3 linked regions of the Nothobranchius furzeri genome follow. The protein of the gene in region 1 interacts with the protein of each later gene in a biochemical or structural test. Links are inferred from orthologs where the notes say so. Each region holds a gene or a part of one and is shown in the gene's direction. Other genes may lie near its edges. The genes, in order: abcc4, mpp1 and pdzk1.

Evidence for each region.
Region 2: the proteins of abcc4 (region 1) and mpp1 form a complex in vitro, tested with the Homo sapiens proteins (2 studies listed by BioGRID and IntAct, with this or other methods). The link is inferred for Nothobranchius furzeri from reciprocal best matches to the Homo sapiens genes ABCC4 and MPP1.
Region 3: the proteins of abcc4 (region 1) and pdzk1 form a complex in vitro, tested with the Homo sapiens proteins (2 studies listed by BioGRID and IntAct, with this or other methods). The link is inferred for Nothobranchius furzeri from reciprocal best matches to the Homo sapiens genes ABCC4 and PDZK1.

What each region holds. Positions count from the first base shown.
Region 1 is NC_091754.1:57,277,797-57,281,446, forward strand, and holds part of abcc4 (ATP-binding cassette sub-family C member 4), read left to right. Parts: intron 1-1,082; coding exon 1,083-1,229; intron 1,230-1,297; coding exon 1,298-1,377; intron 1,378-1,509; coding exon 1,510-1,660; intron 1,661-1,735; coding exon 1,736-1,855; intron 1,856-1,929; coding exon 1,930-2,040; intron 2,041-2,111; coding exon 2,112-2,212; intron 2,213-2,282; coding exon 2,283-2,474; intron 2,475-2,547; coding exon 2,548-2,703; exon of another isoform or gene 2,704-2,738; intron 2,739-2,791; coding exon 2,792-2,881; intron 2,882-3,650. UniProt on the Homo sapiens protein: ATP-dependent transporter of the ATP-binding cassette (ABC) family that actively extrudes physiological compounds and xenobiotics from cells.
Region 2 is NC_091750.1:51,669,226-51,672,875, reverse strand, and holds part of mpp1 (55 kDa erythrocyte membrane protein), read left to right. Parts: intron 1-1,857; coding exon 1,858-2,054; intron 2,055-2,136; coding exon 2,137-2,240; intron 2,241-2,310; coding exon 2,311-2,391; intron 2,392-2,475; coding exon 2,476-2,556; intron 2,557-2,632; coding exon 2,633-2,835; intron 2,836-2,947; coding exon 2,948-3,022; intron 3,023-3,111; coding exon 3,112-3,288; 3' UTR 3,289-3,650. UniProt on the Homo sapiens protein: Essential regulator of neutrophil polarity. Regulates neutrophil polarization by regulating AKT1 phosphorylation through a mechanism that is independent of PIK3CG activity.
Region 3 is NC_091754.1:24,604,888-24,609,240, reverse strand, and holds the start of pdzk1 (Na(+)/H(+) exchange regulatory cofactor NHE-RF3), read left to right. Parts: upstream 1-1,536; 5' UTR 1,537-1,627; intron 1,628-3,813; 5' UTR 3,814-3,817; coding exon 3,818-4,024; intron 4,025-4,093; coding exon 4,094-4,307; intron 4,308-4,353. UniProt on the Homo sapiens protein: A scaffold protein that connects plasma membrane proteins and regulatory components, regulating their surface expression in epithelial cells apical domains.

The sequences.
Region 1 (3,650 bases):
CGACTGCTCCCAGAGGCCTGTGTGAGATTAAAACCCTGATCTTGTGATCGATACAGAAGACACCCGTAACCTGTCATTTTACTAGTGGCAGGCTAACAACTTCAGCTAATAGGAATAACTAGGGATGTAAGAAAATGTCGATTATGGCAATATATCGTGATATTTTCCCCAGCGATATTATATCGATATTAAAAAGCTGTGTATCAAAAATATCGATATCGCAATATATCGTGATATTTTTTCTTGCAAAAATGTATCGATATTCAAAAGTCGCATATCTAATTTTTGGAAGAATTTACATGGAAACATTTGTGTATTTTCTTTTCTTGTGGTGCAATTCAAACGCCGACCACTAGTTGGCAGCAGTGTGTAATGGGTTTTGTTTCCACCATTGAAATGTAAATCCCTCTGTTATGGTTAAACATGTTAAGTATCAGTTTGGACTGTTTATTGAATTTTCCTATAATAAATTTAGTCTAAAAGAAAATCGCCAATATCGTCTGACTGAATGTATCGCAATATATCGTGATATATTGTATCGTCTCCCCTGTATCGTAATACGTATTGTATCGCCAGAATTTCACCAATACACATCCCTAGGAATAACTATGCCTTCTTGCGAGAGGATCTCTACAAAATCATTTTCCTTTTCCCTCTTCCGTTTTCTGTTTTGTGCCCCAGAGAGCTTTTTTTTCAGTCTGTCCATCTCTAGCTAACCTAGCTAGCTGATCAGAAGACAGTAGATATCATTCAAATGAAAACAATCGTGCCCTAGTGCGTTTTCGCGGGCGCACGCGCTGAACTCGTCAAGAGTGTTCATGTTCTGAGTGTGTGTGTGTGTGTGTGTGTGTGTGTGTAGGGCGGGGGTGTGGAGCAGGGCTGCGGAGGGGCGCCCAATTGCTTGCTGCACAAATGGCTATGAAACACAAAGATGCCCTTTTCCCCCATTGTTGCTTAGGCGCCCCCACCAGCGCGGCGCCCCTATGCGTCGCATACACTGCATACCCACTTTTTGCGCCACTGCGTCTGCTCTGTGAGCTCCTTCAGTTCTGCTGATCAGTGACTCCTACTCCATTACTCAGGCCTGACGGCTGCCACCATCCTGTTTGGCTTCATGAGGAACCTTCTGCTGTTCGGCGTGTTGGTGAGAGGAGCTCAGACGCTCCACGACCGGATGTTCAGCTGCATCCTCAGAACTCCCGTCCGCTTCTTCGACATCAATCCCATCGGTAAGTCGAGCTCAGGTCTGGAGACGCCGGGAGGATACGGCCCCCGCTAACGTTCCGTCTCACTGCAGGAAGAGTCCTCAACAGGTTCTCCAAGGACATCGGGCAGCTGGACTCTATGATGCCGTGGACGTTTACGGACTTTGTCCAGGTGGGGACACACAGAACCTGTCGTGGTTTAGAACTCTGAGAATCGTGACGAAACGATATTTAAGACTTTAGAGTTTTTGTGTCGAGGAACAAGATCCTGGACGCGTTTGACCTCGTTCGTCCCTCTGAGCAGGTCTTCCTCCAGATTCTCGGCGTGATCGCCGTGGCGTCCTCTGTGATCCCGTGGATTCTGATCCCTGTTGTCCCGCTCCTCGGAGTGTTCCTGTTCCTGCGACGTTACTACCTGAGAACCTCCAGAGATGTCAAACGTCTGGAGTCCACCAGTGAGCGTCCCCTGAGTGGGTTCAGAGTCCAGATTTAAGCTGTTCCGGCGTCTCAAATGTCTCTTTGTCCCACAGCTCGGAGTCCTGTCTTCTCCCACCTGTCCTCGTCTCTTCAGGGCCTGTGGACGATACGAGCGTTCTGCGCTGAGAAGAGGTTCCAGAAAGCCTTTGACGCCCACCAGGACCTTCACTCAGGTCCCCCCTCCCCTCAGATCTCAGACTCTGGTCCGTTTGTCCCGTCTGTGTTCTGACTCTCTGGTTCTGAACAGAGGCCTGGTTCCTGTTCCTGACCACCTCCCGCTGGTTCGCCTTTCGCCTCGACATCATGTGCTCCATCTTCGTCACCATCACCGTGTTTGGCTGCCTGCTGCTGCGAGACCGTAAGGATCCCTAGTTTCTGCTGTGGGCCACTAGGGGGAGCCAGAGTCTCTGAGCAGAGTTGTGTTTTCAGAGTTGGACGCCGGTTCTGTCGGGCTGGCGCTGAGCTACGCCGTCACGCTGATGGGGATGTTCCAGTGGGGCGTCAGGCAGAGTGCAGAGGTGGAGAACATGGTGAGAACCTTCAGACGCGCCGGTAGAACTCCTCAGACGTTCGGAGGCTGTAAGCTGTTTCTGCTTGCAGATGACCTCGGTGGAGCGGGTGGTGGAGTACACGCAGCTGGAGAGTGAAGCTCCCTGGGAAACGCACAAGCGCCCTCCTCCAGGCTGGCCCACCAAAGGCCTGGTGACCTTTGACCGGGTCAGCTTCTCCTACAGCCCAGACGGGCCGCCGGTGCTGCAGAACCTGCAGGCCACATTCAAACCCAAAGAGAAGGTTGGACATGCTTGTTTGTGGAGAACAGCTGGTCCCAGAGGTTGGACAGAACCTGATGTTCTCCGTTTGTCAGGTGGGCATCGTTGGGAGAACCGGAGCCGGGAAAAGCTCCCTGATCTCGGCTCTGTTCCGCCTGGCAGAACCTCAGGGGAAGATCTACATCGACGGAGTGGTGACGTCTGAGATCGGACTCCACGACCTGCGGCAGAAGATGTCCATCATTCCTCAGGTCCGCAGGAGGAGGAACGAGTCCAACGGTAGAACGTGAGACTAAAGAACCACTTAGATGAAACATAGCTCTTGTGTTTGTGTCCCAGGACCCGGTTCTGTTCACGGGCTCCATGAGGAAGAACCTGGACCCGTTCAACCAACACTCAGATGAAGAGCTGTGGAACGCCCTGCAGGAGGTCCGAGGCAGCCCGGTTCTGCTTTTGTTTGTAAACTAAAGGATGTGTCTCTGTAAAGGTTCCGAATACTCGTCTCACAGACGCGTTCGAGCATCAGCTGAGAGTAAAATGGCGGCTTTAGGGTCTAATCAAAGTTCTCAGAGCTTCTGGGTTTGGGACGGGTCGGTCGGTGTGGACCAGCACGGGTCCGCAGTTTCAGGAGATCGCTTCGGTTTGGCAGGCGGGGTGAACGTACCGTCGTGCGATTTCATAAATGAGTTGTGCAGCTTACCAACGGGCTCCACGTGTGACCCGGCCCGCCTCGGTTTGTCGGTCTGTGCCCAGGGGTGGACTGGCCCATCTGGCATTCTGGCACTGTCCCGGTGGGCCAGCTTGGGCCGACACTACTCCACAGCTGGTGATCTGCAGAACATTAGCTACATGCTAACCCGAAGCTAACAGAGTTTTTCCAGGTGCTATTAGCAAGAAAAACGCGGTAGAGCGATGACGTAGGAGCTGTTTCACTGCGTTAGCATGTAGCTAATGTCCCAAGCGGTACCAAAAATGATTTTTTCAAAAGATCTGACCAAAGAGGAGATTTGTGATTTCGCCATTTTAAACACTCCACGACAAAATCACTCCCACATCACGTGTGTTTACACTCGCTTGGTTTTACCACCTCTTTAGCCCCATTCCAGGAATCGTCGGGGAGGAGGAACTACGATGGCTCGGCCCTCTCCTTATAAAATCGACCCTTTCAGGACTTTCAGACGTCAGCAGCACATCACGA
Region 2 (3,650 bases), on another chromosome or scaffold:
AGGACAGCAGAACCCCTGCACTGCTGCCTCCCAGACTGCTGAAGGCACAGCCTTTTTATCCCAGGTGTGGCTCATCAGGAGGATTCAGTTCAGCTGTGCTCCTCAGCAGCCTGGAAGAGAGGAGGAGGAGGGGCGGTGTCCAGTCAATCACCAGAGCTGGGTGATCCTGGCTGCTTTTTCCCCTCTTCAGGCTGGCAGCCGTGACAACGCAACAAAAAATCACTACGCGCAAAAACAAATTCACTAAATGCACCAAAAAATCACTAAGCGCATAAACAAATTCACTAAATGCACCAAAAAATCACTAAACGCACAACAAATTGAAAAGCACAACAAAAAATTGAAAAGCACAACAACAAATTCACTAAACACAAAACCAAATTGAAAACCACAAAAACAAAAAACAAACCGGAAAAGGTAGGTACCAATGCTGCAACAACAGGCATCACTGATTGGATGATGGATCCGTTGGCCTTTTGAATCGGAAGTTGTTCTGCCGAACGTGGTTATGTGAAAGAGCAGTCAGCGGGTGTGTCCGAATCCACAGGCCGGGTCCTTGCCAGACCGCTAAGCGATTTGTTTTTGCGCTTTTCAATTTGTGTTTGCGTTAAGTGATTTGTTTTTGTGGTTTGCACTTCAGGGCCACCGTAGCCTTGATCTACGGTCGCCATGTCATTGGTGGAGCGCTGCAACAGCCGGCTTATGTATATGCATGAGATCCACAAGGCACTTTGCATTGACTATTTATGGCAGTAAGTGGGCGTGGTGAGGGTGGGATGTGACTAAAAAGCAGCTGAGAACCTTTCTAGATAGTTTCTGATTTATGAAGCGGAGATTGCGTGCAGCTGTGCGTTCTCCATGTTTGATAGATCACAAACCTACTTGGCGTAAGTACATTTGTTTTGCTGAGCTTAAGTACAGTTTTAGTAAGGATTCTACGCAATGTTTGATAAATGAGACCCCAGGTCTTTTCTCGTAAACAGGTTCAAGTCTAAGTCAAGTCCCAAGTCACTGGTATATAAAAAACAAGTCTTTAAACATTTTTCAAGTCAAGTCTAAAATCATCAAATCTGTGACTCAAATCTGACTCGAGTCCAAGTTACATGACTCAAGTCCAAGTTACGCGAATCAAGTCCAAGTCACGTGACTCCAGTCCACAGTTCTGAGGCAAAGCATTCAGAATCTGAGCAAATCTGAGTCAGGAGGGCGAGAAACTAAGAAATTTCCCCAAAATTCCTGAGTTCTCAACTGAAGTGAACTCGCACATGTCCTTTGATTATTACATAATCAATAGATATATAAATAAGTAAGTAAAACATGCATTTTACTTCCCATTAGAGCATATATCTGAGGAAGACATAGAGACACTTATATCCATCCCTTGCTGCAGGATTTTCTATAAATTCTAAGTAAAAAAAAAAGTCAGAAATCTGTTGCATTAATTTTCTTGCGGGGATCCCAGCCATTGAGGAATGTGGTTGTAGTAATTCACCTGTGGGTGGAGTATGCATGTTCCATAATCTGTGACAGTTTAGGAATGTTTTGTATTAAAATTAAATTCTAATAATCAATGAGACTGAAGTCTACATTTGTCAAACCAATTCATGCTTTTATTATTCATTATGAAACAGTTTTAGTGTTCTGCAAGAAGCTGTCATGATCATTTGGCATTATGCTCTACCCGTGGGTGATTTTAACTTTTGTCTTTGATAGAATCCAAATAACAAGGAAATGTCTGAAGTCTGTATTAGACTACTTTATTTCCTAAAGGTGGTATTTGTGCAGAAACGATTAAATATTCTTATTACACAAAATATTTAGTATCTCTGCTCCACATGTCCTGATCCTTATCCACAGACATACATGAGAGCTCAGTTTGATTATGACCCAACCAAGGATGACCTCATCCCATGCAAAGAGGCTGGCCTAAAGTTTCAAACTGGAGACATCATCCACATTATTAACAAGCAGGATCCAAACTGGTGGCAGGGCAGAGTGGAGAGCAGCGGTGTGGACTTTGCTGGACTGATACCTTCCCCAGAGCTCCAAGAGTGGTAGAGATACGCATCATTTCTGATTAGTGGTCCTGCAGAGCTGAAGATGCATATACAACTTCATGTGCCTGTTTCTTTGCAGGAGAGTGGCCAGTAAAAGCAAGGCCAAGGAGGGAAGTCAGTCCTGCAGCCCGTTTGGAAAGAAGAAGAAGTGCAAGGACAAATATCTCGCTAAGCACAGCTCAAGTGAGAGGATTACTGGACCCAAGTTTACACCCCAGTGCAAGTTTATCTAAACATGATCATTTGTCTGCAGTTTTTGACCAACTGGATGTGATTTCCTATGAAGAGGTGGTGAGGCTCCCTGCTTTTAAAAGAAAAACTCTGGTGCTTATCGGTAAGCTGTCTTTCTCAGGGACATAAGAGGAAACTTGCTTCATCGCAAATTGAATGAATGAGCTCTTAACTTTGCTCTTCTCAGGAGCACCTGGTGTGGGAAGGAGCCATATCAAAAATGCACTGTTGATGAGATACCCTGAGAAATTTTCCTACCCTGCACCACGTAAGTAGGATGTTTTTGTTCTTACAGCGAAGCTAGGTTTGCAAAAATCTTCATTTCAAACACTGAATTTGCACAGACACAACCAGACCCCAGCGGAAGGACGAGGAGAACGGACATGAATATTACTTCATGTCCAATGAAGACATGACCAAGTGCATCTCCAAAAACGAGCTGCTGGAGTACGGAAGCTTCCAGGGATACATGTTCGGTACCAAATTCGAGACCATCCAAAAGATCCACGATCAAGACAAGATTGCTGTGCTGGATGTGGAACCACAGGTCAGAACGGACAAACAGAAACACTATGCTCACATTTTTGACTTTGTAATGGACACTTCTGGAATATTTAGTGCCCAGGGTGTAATTGATTTGTTTGTAAATCTTCCTACAGACCTTAAAACTTGTGCGGACAGCTGATTTCGCCCCCCTGGTGGTGTTTATAGCTCCCACCAACACCGCCACACAGGTGCCACAACATCACACGATAAACACCTTTTTTTAAAAACATCTAAATCAACGAGCCAATAGCTAAACTTCCTGTTTCCTCTCTCTTAGACGGAAAACCTTCAGATGATCCAGAAAGAGTCGGACGCCATCCTGGGCACGTACGGACACTTCTTTGACGTGGTTCTTGTCAACAACGACGTGGATGAGAGCGTTAAAGGGGTAGAGGAGGCCATGGAGCACGCCACCTCCACCCCCCAATGGGTGCCTGTGTCGTGGGTGTACTAAAGAATGCCAGTATCACTCCAAACGCCAAAACCTCTGAGTCAGCAGCGTCCCAGGTGTTTTCCTTTTGGATGTTGTCACTGAGATTTTATTGCACAAATGCAGTTTAAAGAAAAAAAGCAATATTTAGAAAGCTTTATGACAGAAGGCTGAGATGTTTCACCAGGTGGTTTAAACATTTTTGGAGGCTAGGAGCTAGCTTTTGGTGCCACATACCTTAAGAATATTCTGAAATGCAAAACAGGACCATGACTGTGAAATAAATCGCCATTAGATTTTCATTGTCTCTGGTTTTCCCATTTGTCATTACATTAGCTATGGCGAGGACTAGGATTCTGACACTTGTTGCTCATGCTGTCTGTGTA
Region 3 (4,353 bases), about 33 Mb from region 1:
AAAAAACATGTTGTCTTTAAAAACCCACCTTTCATCAGGATTCTGAAGCTTTGCCAACATCTCTGGACATAAACTCTAGCAGGCTGTTGTTCTGTCTAACCTTACTGGCATGTAAATCCTGCAAAAAAGTCAAGTTAGCCACATTTAGTTTGATTGTAGGAAGCAAAAAAATAAAAAAATAAAATAAAATCACAAGCATTCTTCTAAAGATCTGAGTGCTAAACAGTACTGACAGGAACCCAGGAACTGATCATGACCATTTACTTTGTTACTGCTCAATGCAAAAAGGAGTAAAATGCCTAATTTAACAGTTTTCCCTTGTAAATTTGAAAGAGACACTTTTGACTGTGTGCAGTTTGTGCTGCACTTCTTACAGCATAGAACAGGAGGCTGTAATGTGATCCACATTCTTGCAGGCTGTCCGGAACCTGGATAATGGATGCCCTTGCATCTTTCCACCATCAGCGACTAATTTCTATCAATGTGCCTTAATGCTTCTAGTGGTAATGCCCTATTAAGGGCAGCAGTGTGCCAAAAAAATAAAGAAAATGTGCCAACTCAAAGGTTTTCTGACAGAAATCAATGCACTGAATATGATTTAGAGCTTATAACAGAATCAGTGTTTTTCCAACATGCATAAGAAGTTTATTTTTTTAGAATCATTTGATATTTTACTAAAGCAGAATCAAAATGAAAATAAAAGTTTCCATCTAGTTTAGAAAAAAATGTCCTATATCAGCCACAAATAAGGTAAAGACAGATGATTATTTCCTTCATGATTCATTTAATTTAATTTGTAATTTTAGTTATTGCTTACCTTTATTTTAAAATATTTGAGATGCTATTATGAAGTCCCCTAGTGTCCAAGTCCTCATGCTTGCTCCTAGAATTTGACATTTATGACACGTTTCTGTAAAAACACACCTTTGTCCAGTCCATATGACAGCAGTACAAGACCTTCATACCTACAGCTACAGTAACAATAAACAATACACCCACGTTTACTGGGAACATCATAAAAAACCTTGTAGACGGAGTACGTACATGACAAACTACAATAAAACCTCTGTGAAATAAATCCTCGTTCTCTTCACTGAGTGCTAGAGATTATCTAAATCAAACTAATAAAAGTAATAAAAAATAAATAAACCACACATGAAAATATAATAAAAAATATCCATATTGAATTTAATTGGACATTTATTTTTGCTAAATGTTGTTTTTCCACAACATAAACTTTCATAAATCAGATACTAAGTATGTTTTCTTAATCTTAATGGCTGATGGCCTCTTCTGTGTGTTTTATTCATGAATTTTAGATAAATAAACATAAACAGGATGCAGTCTTGTGGATTCTGACTATGATGTGTGAACATGGCTGTTCAGCAGCCACCTGCTGCAAACTTTGAAAAATAAATAGATGACTGCTCGCACTCGACAGACTGCAAAGAGCCTCAGACACTCATGACACAAGACGTTGTTAAATAACTCTTTAGGCTGAACTTTGACCTGTCAAAGTCCCTTAGGGAGGTGGGGAGGGGGGAGTGCAGGTTTAAGATGCCATAACAGCTAATCAGTGACAGGTGAGCTCCCCCTTTAGACGCAGACACTCAACAGAGGAGAGTCGGTGAGTGAAATGTTTATTTTACTCTTTATTTTTTATTGTTATACTTTTTTTTAAATAAATTTGGGGAAATTTTAAGATTCATAAAGGTTTCCTGTGGAGATTAAAGAACACGTTTAATCATTTGCTGGAAAACCTCTGATACTTTAACAGGTGAAAAAATATCAACAAGTTAAAAACGGTGTTATCACTGTTTGTTGCTTTGGGTTTATTGATATTATTTTCCAATTTTTAAGTATTGAACAGAATAATCTACTTCTTTGGGGCTCTTAATATTAAACTAGCTTTATATTTTGGTGAAAAAGCTGTTAAAATCAAATCTAATACGACGTAAACTTTATAACCACATTACAAATATGTACCGCTTTTAAATAACTATTAAACTTTTAATAGTTGTATCAATACTTCAGCTGTAAGCACAAGTAAAAAAAACAAGATTAATAAAGTCAAATGAAGCATACAGCTAAACATTTCTTTTATAAGGATAAAATAAATATTACACCTTTTTAACTCTAAGATAAAGGTCATAACTCTATTTTAAGTTGTTATTAGTGTGTTTTTAATTATTTAATTGCCTAAATTATACATTGAAATAGTTAAAACTAATTAAAATACATTTTGTATTTAATACATCATGAAAACAAACCCAAAGTTTTTATTAATTTACAAATTTCTTAAACGTTGCAATGAATCTCGTTTAAGACATGAGTGTTTGCGTTTTTAATATAAGCACACCTGCCTTTTATAGCATCCCGCTGAGAGTTAAACCCACAACCCTTAATTTGGATTCAAAGTCCAGTGATTTTTATTTCACTGTCAGCTGTGTGTCCTGCAAATCATTACATGCCTGTTGTCATGGAAGAGTAACTTTTCATCCTCTATCAGCACTTCTGTCACGTCTTTATGTGCTGAAGTATCCACTCTGATAAATATGCTTAATGCGTAGCACAATAGATTACAAGGTGAACTAATTTATGATCGTCAACAAATGTAAAGGGGAAAAACAGCTGTTTAAGTTCGATTGCATTTTCCAATCTCAAAGCTCTAAAACCAAAATAAGTCTAAGGCTTAACTGGCTTGGTCAAATTTATTGACACTTTAAAGGTGTGGAACACTCAGTTAATCAATGCATCGGCAATGATCTCTAGCAGAAAGAAATGGATTCTAATTTATGATGCTCCTGTTTCAGCACAGAGAAGTAAGCTGAAGGAGAAAGTAGCTTCAGACAACAAGATTAGTAGTTTTATTTCCTGATATTTGGTCATCTTGCATTGGATTGGCTAACAGCAACGTGACAAAAGTTAACGTTTTATCTCCACAAATAACTCAACCCTGAAGGAGTTCTGCTGTGTGGTGGAGTTGCTAATGCTAACTAGATTCCACTAGCCAAGACGTTCTCTGCTGATTCCTGGATGCTAAACCAACAACAGCCTTCCCCATCACGAGTCAAGATGGGTGAATCCATGCATGGATATAAATTTTGGTGTGTGTGTGTGGTTGGGGGGGGGGGGGGGGGGGGCATGTCACCCCCCCCCCCCCCACACACACACACACCCCACACCCACGCACACTTTTGCCAAAGTCATGTTTTGACCCCTGCACTTTTTATCGTCCAAAAACAATATTACTCTATATTAAGTAGACACTGGTTGAGCTCTAGGACCAAGTGGAAAACAACTGTTTGTGTTGAAGCCTGTTTCCCATTAGAACATACTGAAAAGATTCCCGCTGGTCCTCGGTTGTCCCCCCACCCCTTACGCCTAAGACTTAACTATATATATATATATATATATATATATATATATATATATATATATATATATATATATATATGTGTGTGTGTGTGTGTGTGTGTGTGTGTGTGTGTGTGTGTGTGTGTGTGTGTGTGCAATACAAGGGAGACGATATGATTTACTGTGAAGTTAAAAGCTGACAATATTTGCAGATGTTAAAACAGTTTTATTTGAAAACTGAGGCCAAATGCTTCCAAGACACATTCAGTATTATTGTGAGATCTCGCTGGTTTGTCAGAATGAAGGCAGTAAAAGCTGCTGCCACCTAGCGGCCGGAGTTTGAATTGCACCACACAAAAGAAGTACAATACATACAGAATATTGCGATATTACATTGTCTCAACATTTTCTTGCATCTCTGTTAAGTACCGTTTATTATTTCTTTGTTCATGTTAGGACAATGGCCACGTACACGCCAAGGGTGATCTCCCTGGCCAAGAGGCCTGGTCAGACATTTGGCTTCTTTCTGAGGGTGGAGCAAAGTAAGGAGGGCCACCTGATTCGCTGCCTGGAAATGGGAGGTCCAGCTGAACTGGCTGGTATGAAAGATGGAGACCGCATCCTTCGGGTCAATGGAAAATTTGTCGATGGGCTTACCCATTCAGAGGTGAGCAGAATGTAGATACACAGCAGATCCAATCACCAGCAGTGAATTTCCATGGTGTCCCTCTACTAGGTGGTGGAGCTGGTGAGAAACAGTGGAGCATCTGTCACATTCCACATTCTGGATGAATCGTCTTACAATCAAGCAAAAACACTCGGAGTGAACCTCTCCGACCCTCAAAGCTCACCCATTGCCAACGGATTGGCTAAAGAAGATTGGAAGCCCAAACTCTGCTACCTGGTCAAATCTAAGTCAGGATTTGGGTTTTCCATTAGCTCATTTAAAGGTAAGGTACATTTGTAAAGGGTTAAAGAAAATCTACAATTCTCAAG